Linked DNA regions of Chlamydomonas reinhardtii. The protein of the gene in region 2 interacts with the protein of the main gene of each other region in a pairwise test. Links are inferred from orthologs where the notes say so. Each region holds a gene or a part of one and is shown on either strand. Other genes may lie near its edges. The genes, in order: CHLRE_02g084800v5 and CHLRE_01g019750v5.

Region 1 (3,862 bases), on a different chromosome or scaffold from region 2:
CGCCGATAACGGCAGGCCGTTACAGGGTTACAGCCCCCGCCTTCGCGGCCTTTAACTTTACCCCTGGCAACTGAGCTCCGCTGCCACCCCGTCCGCGCGTGCCCGTGATGGAACATGGCAAGGGGCAGGAAAGCGTAGTCCCGATGTGTGTGGCTCCCACCCGTGCCCACATAAATGCGTAGCAAGAAGGGACAAGGCATTGGTGCGTCGTTCGCGCGCTGTTACTGTACCGACGGTAGCTGGCAGGTTGTGTCGATGTTTTGCTGACGCGCATTCCTCACGCTCCGGGCGCCCGGCCAAGGCGATAGCACCACACAGACTCAATGCGACGCCACACCGCGCGGATAGCATAGCCGATGCGCACCTGCAGGCAGTCGACCGGCGTCCACGGATGAGCTGTGTAGACGAGCACTAGCGTAATGCAACGGCGTGCAGCAAAACAATGGCCGGGCGACAGTGTGACAAACAGGGGCAAGAACAAGGCGAAGCAAAGCAGAAGAGGGGCCCGAATGTGTACGTCCGTCCGCGCGTGCCGCCTCCACCTTCCCGCCTTCACCCCTCCCCTGGCCTTGCCTTCGCCGGTATTACTGCTGTGGAAGCGCCGGAGCGACCGCCAACAGGCCGGGTGTACCGCTCTAGCTGGCACGGGCTTGCACGCCAGTTCATTGACCGCTTGCCACAGGAACACTTGCTTCATGGGGAGCCATCAATACCAGCAAGCAATCTGATAATTGGCGCCTCAACCAGTGAACGCCGCCGGGCCAACGTGCAGGGCTGCGGGTTCTCGCCCTGCCCTTTCCTCTCAGCCTGAGCAGCTCCCACGGCTTTCCCGCGACCCTTATGTCCGTTCGCCATCCCGATGCGCGTGAAGAGCCATGCAGCCTCGAAAACGCCCAGAGCGACATCTGTGCAATCTTGCCTTGACCAGGCATCTTAATCTTAGGGTCTGGCAACATTCAATAAGGTAGTCCATCCTGCGTTGCAGCCGCGTGCGTGCGCTGCTTCACACTGGCAAACACGTGCCGTGCCCCCTCTTCTGGGGGCGCTGTGCCCCCCTGTCATTAGCACGGGATGCATGTTCGTCTGCCCGCAACCTGTTCCGTTCCGTTCCTCCTGCTGTGCCCCTGCACGGCGCGTGACCGCCCTCATCGACGACCTGTATGGCGCAGTCGTAGGCAATCGCAGGCACACCGCGCTTCCCAAGCTCCCCTCCACCACGTGGAAACCCAGCCACACGCACAACTGGTGTCCCTCTCGCCCTCCCCTGGGTCCCGCCCTCCCCACCGTTCCTCCCAAAGCACCCGCACCCCCACACACCCGCCACCTGAGCCCGAGCCTCATCACACGCCACGTGGCACATTAAGATCCAGGTCCTAGATCAAGAATCTAGATCCAGTCTCCCTCCTGCAGCTTGAGCGGCAGGTACACCTGGCTGAGGTACTGGAATCCAAAACTGGACAGCGCCTGGATCTCAGCCTTGACCTGCACGGGCGAGAAGGGGGCATCGAGGGTTGCAAAGTTTGGTACTGTGAAGTGTAGCGAAATAGACAGCAGGTGTAGGGGGGTGAACGGTCGTAGCCAGGTGGGAGACAGGTGGGGGATGTGTGAGGTGCGCACGGGCTCGGGTTGCGGACTGTGAAAGACATGTGAGGGACAGGTGATGAGGGGATGGGCGGGTGAGGGGCAGCACCCGTGGGCAGCACCCGTGGGCAGCACCCAAGACAACAGACCAGCGCGCGACAGAGTCCGCGTTACTTCCATGCAATCGGTTGCTGCTGCTGCTGCTGTGGCGGCGGCAGCGTACCTTGCTGGCCAGCATGAGCTCCAGCTCGCGCACCCACTCGGGGTTGCTCTTGATCCAGTCCTCCTCCAGCTGAGGAGGGGGAGGGGACAGAGGATGGCGGGAGATGCAGGAGCAGGAGCAGGAGGGTTGGGGGTGGGGGTTCTTGAGCCGTGGAGAGAGTGTGCCGGTGTGGCCGCGCGATGGCTGCTGCACGTGGTGGTGCGGTGTAGCGCAGTGGGGCTGTGCAACGTAAAACAGAACTTGTCCCGAAAGCTGTTACAAATGCGTGGAAGCCCGGCCTCACCAGGCGCTTGCCGGTCTTGATGTCCTCTTCCGTCATGGGCAGCCGGCACTGACAGGGGAGCAGAGGGGGCGGGAGTGGAGGAGGGGGAATAGTTTACCGTATTTCAAACCCAACTAATACCTATACCCAGAACCAGAGGGCGGAGGAGGTCCGGTGAGGGGGCAGGAGTGGACGCGGCGGGAGTGGATGAGTGCGGACCTGGGGGTAGAGGAGCGGTCCGCGCAAGTGCTGTCTGCCGCCGCCCGTGTAAACGCCCTGCACTCGCCGGCCACCCCAGCCACCCTCTCACACGGCCGCCCGCCGCCACACCTGCTGCGGGATATCGAAGCGGTCCAGGTCGGAGGGCCTCACGCCCAGCCACTTGATGTCGGGGGTGGTGAGGTTGGAGCTGTCGTACGACATGTTCATGGAGCCCTGAGGGGGGGAGGGTGAAGGGGAGCACATTCATGATAAATTAGGGAAGTGGTAAGGGGGAGTCACATTCATGATTGTTCAAGAAGTGGAAGCGCAGCCAGGGATAGTTGTATAGCAAATAGGGCGGAGGGAGAGTGGGGGAGAGTAGGGGCGGCACGTTGAAGGGGATGGGTTTCCATGCACTGCGTCGTGTTACAAGTTGTGAGGGCGGCTCCGCCGCCGGAGAGGGTACATGCAAGCAGAGAACTGCGGTCTTCGTGCGGGGTTGGGAGGGCGAGCCTGAACCGCCGTGTAGCCACGCAAAGATAGAGCGTAGCCAGGGATGACGGCGTCAGTACTGACAGAACGAAACTCGCAAAGTAGCGAGCGCGACACAGGGGATGGGGTTACTGGGTCCGAGGGGAGGGGTCAGAGTGGCTGGGGCGGTGTGCAAGAAGTAGCAGGCACACTGAAAGCATGCGCGCAGCAGCTCGGGGGCAGTTTGACTGCAGGCTGTACAGAAGTGTCAAACCCGGCTTTCCGCGCCTGGCCCATACCCGTCCCCGCCTGCCTGCCCCGCTAGTTCAGCTCGATTTGCTTTAGCTTGGGCTGGTATTTATAACCCCCGCCTCCCGCTCGGGCGCTGGCTCGCCTTCATGTACACGGACAGGATCTTGAGGCCGTAGGGGTCGCTGTCCACCAGCGCCAGCACCGGGATCTTCAGGCTGGACTTGAGCTTCTTGAGGAACAGGCTGTGGACGGGCGCGTGATAAGTGCGATAAAGGCTTGTGCGGGCGCTGAGCAGATGAGCAAGGCGTGGCATTGGATGCAGACAGGCAGGCAGGCAAGTCCTTCTAGAGCACCCTTGGCGCAGTGGCCATGCCCCGCCGGTGAAGGCACTCCAAGGGAAGTAATTGTGTCTCGCACCGCGTGGCCACGTCGGGCTGCCCCTTTGCGGTGAGGATGATGCAGGGGTAGGTGTTGTAGAACCTGTGCGCGCGTGCGTATGTGTGTGTGTGTGTATGTATGTGTGTGTGTGTGTGTGTGTGTGTGTGTGTGTGTGTGTGTGTGTGTGTGTGTGTGTGTGTGTCGGCATCGCCCCACATCCGCGTCGTAACCTCCTCCTCCTGCCCTCCTCCTGCCCTCCTCCTGCCCCTCCTCCTCCTCGTCCTTCCCCTCCTCCTCCTCCTCCTCCTCCTCCTCCTCCTCCTCCTCCTCCCGCCCCTACCCCACCTGTCCTCCGCCAGGCGCATGAATGCAGCGTCCTTCTCAACCAGCAGGATGAAGGACGCGTCAGAAGAGATGTCCGACACCTGGGGTGGCGGGGGTGGAATGTGTCTCTGTGTGCACATGTTCGTAGAAGTTCCAGCCCCATACTTGGA
Region 2 (4,520 bases):
GACGCCAGCACAGGCTTGCAGCACCTCGGAACCCAACCCCCATTCGCGTCAGCCCCCACCCCACCCTCCTGCGCCTTCCCTCTCCCTCCCACTTTCCCTCTCCCTCTCCCTCTTCTCTCCTCCCCTCCACCCGCAGTGCGGTGCGTTGTGACCGCCGCGGCCCAGTGCCCCCACCGGTACGTGCTCCAGTTGCCCTCGATGGTGAGGCTGAGGCTGGAGCCGTGCCAGCCGTCCGGGTTGGGCAGCTGCTCCTCCAGGTGGATGCTGGGCTCGTTCCTGACAAGCGGGCGAGCGTGCGGCGATGTGCCTTAATCCAAATGGGGACGAGTGCGACGGTGTCAGAGCTAGGGTGCCTGTGGTAGAGGATAGCGGCGCCGGGCGCCCTCCATGGCCACCGCCGGGGCGTCCCTTCCCAGCAGCTCGCCCTTCCGCTGACCTTGCCCCCCCCCCGACCCCCCTTCCTTTATCCGCGCGCCCGCCCGCTCCTCCACTCCCCCGCTGACCGCCTGCCTGGGGCTCACTTGTGTATGTCTATGTCCAGGCGGTAGTGGGAGCGCAGTGCGGCGCGCGGCGTGGCGGAGCTGATCTCGAAGGGCAGGCCGGTGGTCATCTTGGACCAAATGAGGGCCATCTTGGCGCCCAGACCGAACTTGCCTGTGTTGATGCGGTGTTGGCGTCATAGAAGAGCACAAGGGGAGCAAGTGCGGAAAGCACAAGGGGCGAGAGATTGTGTGGGTGGGGTAGGGGACGAGAAATGGGTGTGTGTACGAGGACGATGACGTGCGCCGCGTTGCACAGACCAAATGCGTGGCACCGCACCGCACCCACCGCACCACCCCCAGCCACACACCTCGTGTCTGCTTGACTCCGTACTTGGTGCCGCTGAGCACGCGGCCCAGCATGTTAGGGATGTCCTTGTGCGGCATGCCCGCGCCGTTGTCCTGGAGCCCGGAACAGCGGGGGTGGGGTGGGGTTACGTTCACAATTATTCAAGAAGTGAAGGCGTAGCCAGGAACAGTGGGGTGGGGCTATTCCAACCCCAAGACCCAACGACCAGCCTTACCAATGTCCCATAGCACAACCAAAACCCAACAAGGACGCAGCAGCGGTAGCCGCAGCGGCATTTCATAGGCCGTACACGGACGTATTCAAGCGTGCACTGAGCATGACAGTACCATGACATTGCATGCGCGCCCGCCCTGCCCATGCCCCGCCCCATTGCACTCCCACCTCCCCTTTCGCCCCTGAGTGCCCCCAGTCCTGGGCCCCCCGAAACACCCTTCGTGTCCCTGGTTTCTTGTTGGAAATGGTGGAAACACCCCCCTAACACCCACGCACGCACCTTGACGGTGACCTTGTAGAACAGGTTGCCGCGCATGTTGGCTCCGGGCTTGGCCGCGCCCGCCACCGCCGCCAGCTCCTTGCGCTTGGCCTCGGCCTCCTTGCTGCCCTCGCCGTGCTGCAGGCAGTCGTGCACAGGCGGGCTAGTCAAGTGGGGTCCAATAGCCGTGTAGGTGGGTTACACGTTTGATAGGGCACACATTACTGCCTTCCGGCATATATATATATATATGCACCTTCTCGATGAGCTTCTTGAGCTTCTCCTGCTCCCGCGCCTCCTTGGCCAGCCGTTTCTGTGGGGAGGGTGGAGAGCAGGGCGGCAGGGCGTCACTACAGGGAGTGGAGCGCGCGGTCATCTCGCCTCGGCACCACCGCGTCCCTTGCCGTGGACGCCATGTACGGTAGCGCCAGCCTGGCGCTGTGACTGATGGCGGCATCCGTGTGCCGTGGGCCCCTCCCGCGGCCCCGCCTCCCTCAGACCCCCGACATGCCCCCCCACACACTTTGCTCCTTACTTTAACACATGTGGGTATTGCATCTCTCCACCTGTGCTTTCGTAACACGCACAAACCCACGCACGCACCTTCTTTGCCTCCTCCGTCTCAAAGTCCTGATACAGCTGTTCGTCCAGGCGGTCGTGGTGCTCGACGCCCCGGATGCGGTTTAGCCGCGCCTTGGACACCTCCTCGCTTCGGGGTTTGGGAGGGAGGGGCGGAGGGAGGGGTGAAGGACGGGGTGGAGGGAGGAGTGGAGGGAGATTGAAGGAGGGAGGGAGCGGGTGTATGCGGTTGAGAGGAATGGTGGCCGGACGTTAGAGAGGTGGGCCATGGCCAAGGGGAGGGACCATTGTGTGCCCAACGACCGCGCACCTTCCCCGTAGCCTCCCTCCCCGATTCCTCACATGGTGATTTCAATGGCGGGCAGCTCCCCAATCGACTCCGCCGCGTCAAGCGCATTCTCCACCAGCTCACGGATGGTGGTGTACAGGCACTTGCCCGGCTGTAGCGGGACAAGGAGCACGCGTGCCATGTGCGCTGAGGCTTATCAGTAGAAAGCGCTGGCGTTCGTTGCGACCGAGTATCCAAGATTGTGTACCAACAGCCCAATCTGGCACGCTGGCACACACCACCTCCGCCGCACCCGCCCAAGCAGGGCACAAGCGTCATATACAACCCCGCCAGTGGCCCTTCGGACTCACATTGTCAAATCCCGCAATATTCTTATTCTCCGCAAAGAACTCCGCAGGGCTCTTCTGCACCAGCGCATCCGCCTTGCCCTTCGGAGCCATTCTCGCGTATGGACCCCTCCTCAGGCACCGTCTGAGGCCGCTCTATGATGACTATCCGCGCAACATGCGCTTCATGACTGTCGCACTCAAGCCCGGGATCAAATCGGGCTTTGGCCCTTGGCCTGCACCCTAGTTCTGTTTTGAACAACGCTTTTTGAGGGCACAATATTACATATGCTTGCACGTGTAGACTGTGGAAGAGCTAAGGAAGAAACAGAGGTGGAGATGGAAGAGCGCTGCGAAATATTGGATCCAGCGAGCTCGCCCGCATTGCCGTTCCCACTTCCACAACACGCCCGCATGCCATAACGCTGGACTTAATGTGAATATATTGAGTAGAGACACCAGAGATGGAGAAAATGCGACCTGAGGTGCAACTGCCAAAGCTTGAAGTTTAGAGCGGCTTTCCCTGAGCGCAGCGCAGTAGGGGCCCCCAGCCGGGGCCATAGCACAATAGAAATGAGTGCAACAAATGACATAGCGGCGCTGCTGCCTGCTGCGTGGGAGACGTTCCTGGCGCAGCGCCAAGCGACCTCGCAGCTGAACAGCACATTAGAGGATTTGCTGCACAAGATTGCTCAGGTAAACCAGGAAATTCTGCATGCGCATCGAGGAAGCCTCGGGCGTTGGGGAAAGCGATTGCTCGGTTTGAGCTGACAGCAATGTTGCGCGGGGCCGTGCCTGGTCAACTGGCCCGAACCCCAATCATCACTGCTTACGCACGTACACACATTGCAGATGGAGGCACCCACGCCAGAGGATGATGGCGCCCGGCTGGACGTCGTCGCAGACCTGGCACGCCTTGTGTCTGCGGACACTGCGGGCAGCCTGGGGGGCTCGCTGGCCGCGGTGCCGCACGGCTCCTTCCTCATGGGCTGCTTCACCTCCGCCTCTGCGCTTGAGGTAGCAGTCACGGGCCGCCTGCCGGCCAGCACACAGGGCGGCGAGGCGACGGACGTGGTGAGCCGCAGCAGGGACAGATGGCAGCCGCACAGGCATGGCCTTGCAAATACTGATAGGCTTCTTGAGGGCCCTGGCGTGGGGGCGCTAGGCACGCAGCAGAGGGTGACCCCCTGCTCCGCCAGCAAAGTGCGTGCAGGTGTTTGACGGCTCAGCTTTACACGCGCCATGTAGCTGGCAGACATCATCTCACATCCCGTGTCGACAGCTACTCCCGCATGCTGCTCCCGCCCATTCGCTACCCCCTCAACCCCCACCCCAACCCTGCAGGAGCGGCTGCCTCCCCAGGAGCGGCTTCAGCTGCTGGAACGGGTGCATGGGCTGGTGCGGGACAGTGGCATGGCGGCGCAGGGCACCGTGGCCATCAACCGCACCGCGCGAGTACCCTCCGTTAGGTGCGGCAGCAACGCACTGCCTTCCCCGCCGTAGCTTGCATCGCTCTCCATGCCTCTCTCAATCTTCTGTTCATCTTACCATCAAGGACGCACATCAGCTACCGCACATGACATATCTTTTACTTGGTACGCGCCCTCCGCTGTGACTGCCGTTGCCGGCAGCTTCGAGCACGCGGGCAGCGGCATCCCCGTGCGCGTGTGCGTGGCATACCCGGGCTTCGCGCTGCGGGCGCACGTGGTGCGCGGCCTCATGCAGCTGGAGCCGCGCCTGCGCAGCCTCACGCAGCTGGTGAGGAGAGGGCGCGGGAGGAGCGGGGGGAGCGCAAGGAGGCGTGAAGGACTTGGGAGGGGGAGGCCAGGCGAGGGTGGGAGGATTTGAGAAGGATTTGAGAAGCCGCAGGGAGCGCAGGCGGTGGAAGATGCAGTGGGGGATGTATGCCCAAGCCCGACGAAATAGATGGCAAGTGTCAAGAAGTCGTCGCCCAAACCAGGAATGCAGTGCAAGACGGAGGGGAGGACATGGCTTGGGACGGCGC

What was found.
Region 1: the proteins of CHLRE_01g019750v5 (region 2) and CHLRE_02g084800v5 interact in binary tests that used the Arabidopsis thaliana proteins (3 or more experiments, as listed by UniProt). The link is inferred for Chlamydomonas reinhardtii from reciprocal best matches to the Arabidopsis thaliana genes TOP6B and RHL2.

What each region holds. Positions count from the first base shown.
Region 1 is NC_057005.1:1,563,517-1,567,378, reverse strand, and holds the end of CHLRE_02g084800v5 (uncharacterized protein), read right to left. Parts: intron 3,794-3,862; coding exon 3,714-3,793; intron 3,471-3,713; coding exon 3,408-3,470; intron 3,233-3,407; coding exon 3,133-3,232; intron 2,502-3,132; coding exon 2,397-2,501; intron 2,136-2,396; coding exon 2,088-2,135; intron 1,874-2,087; coding exon 1,805-1,873; intron 1,483-1,804; coding exon 1,387-1,482; 3' UTR 663-1,386; downstream 1-662. UniProt on the Arabidopsis thaliana protein: Component of the DNA topoisomerase VI involved in chromatin organization and progression of endoreduplication cycles. Relaxes both positive and negative superturns and exhibits a strong decatenase activity. Involved in cell-elongation processes.
Region 2 is NC_057004.1:3,155,316-3,159,835, reverse strand, and holds the start of CHLRE_01g019750v5 (uncharacterized protein), read right to left. Parts: upstream 2,841-4,520; 5' UTR 2,630-2,840; coding exon 2,540-2,629; intron 2,341-2,539; coding exon 2,243-2,340; intron 2,031-2,242; coding exon 1,925-2,030; intron 1,635-1,924; coding exon 1,578-1,634; intron 1,460-1,577; coding exon 1,343-1,459; intron 942-1,342; coding exon 851-941; intron 655-850; coding exon 522-654; intron 277-521; coding exon 175-276; intron 1-174. Other genes in the region: CHLRE_01g019700v5 (uncharacterized protein), read left to right, coding at 3,089-3,211, 3,368-3,589, 3,860-3,984, 4,147-4,273. UniProt on the Arabidopsis thaliana protein: Component of the DNA topoisomerase VI involved in chromatin organization and progression of endoreduplication cycles. Relaxes both positive and negative superturns and exhibits a strong decatenase activity. The B subunit binds ATP.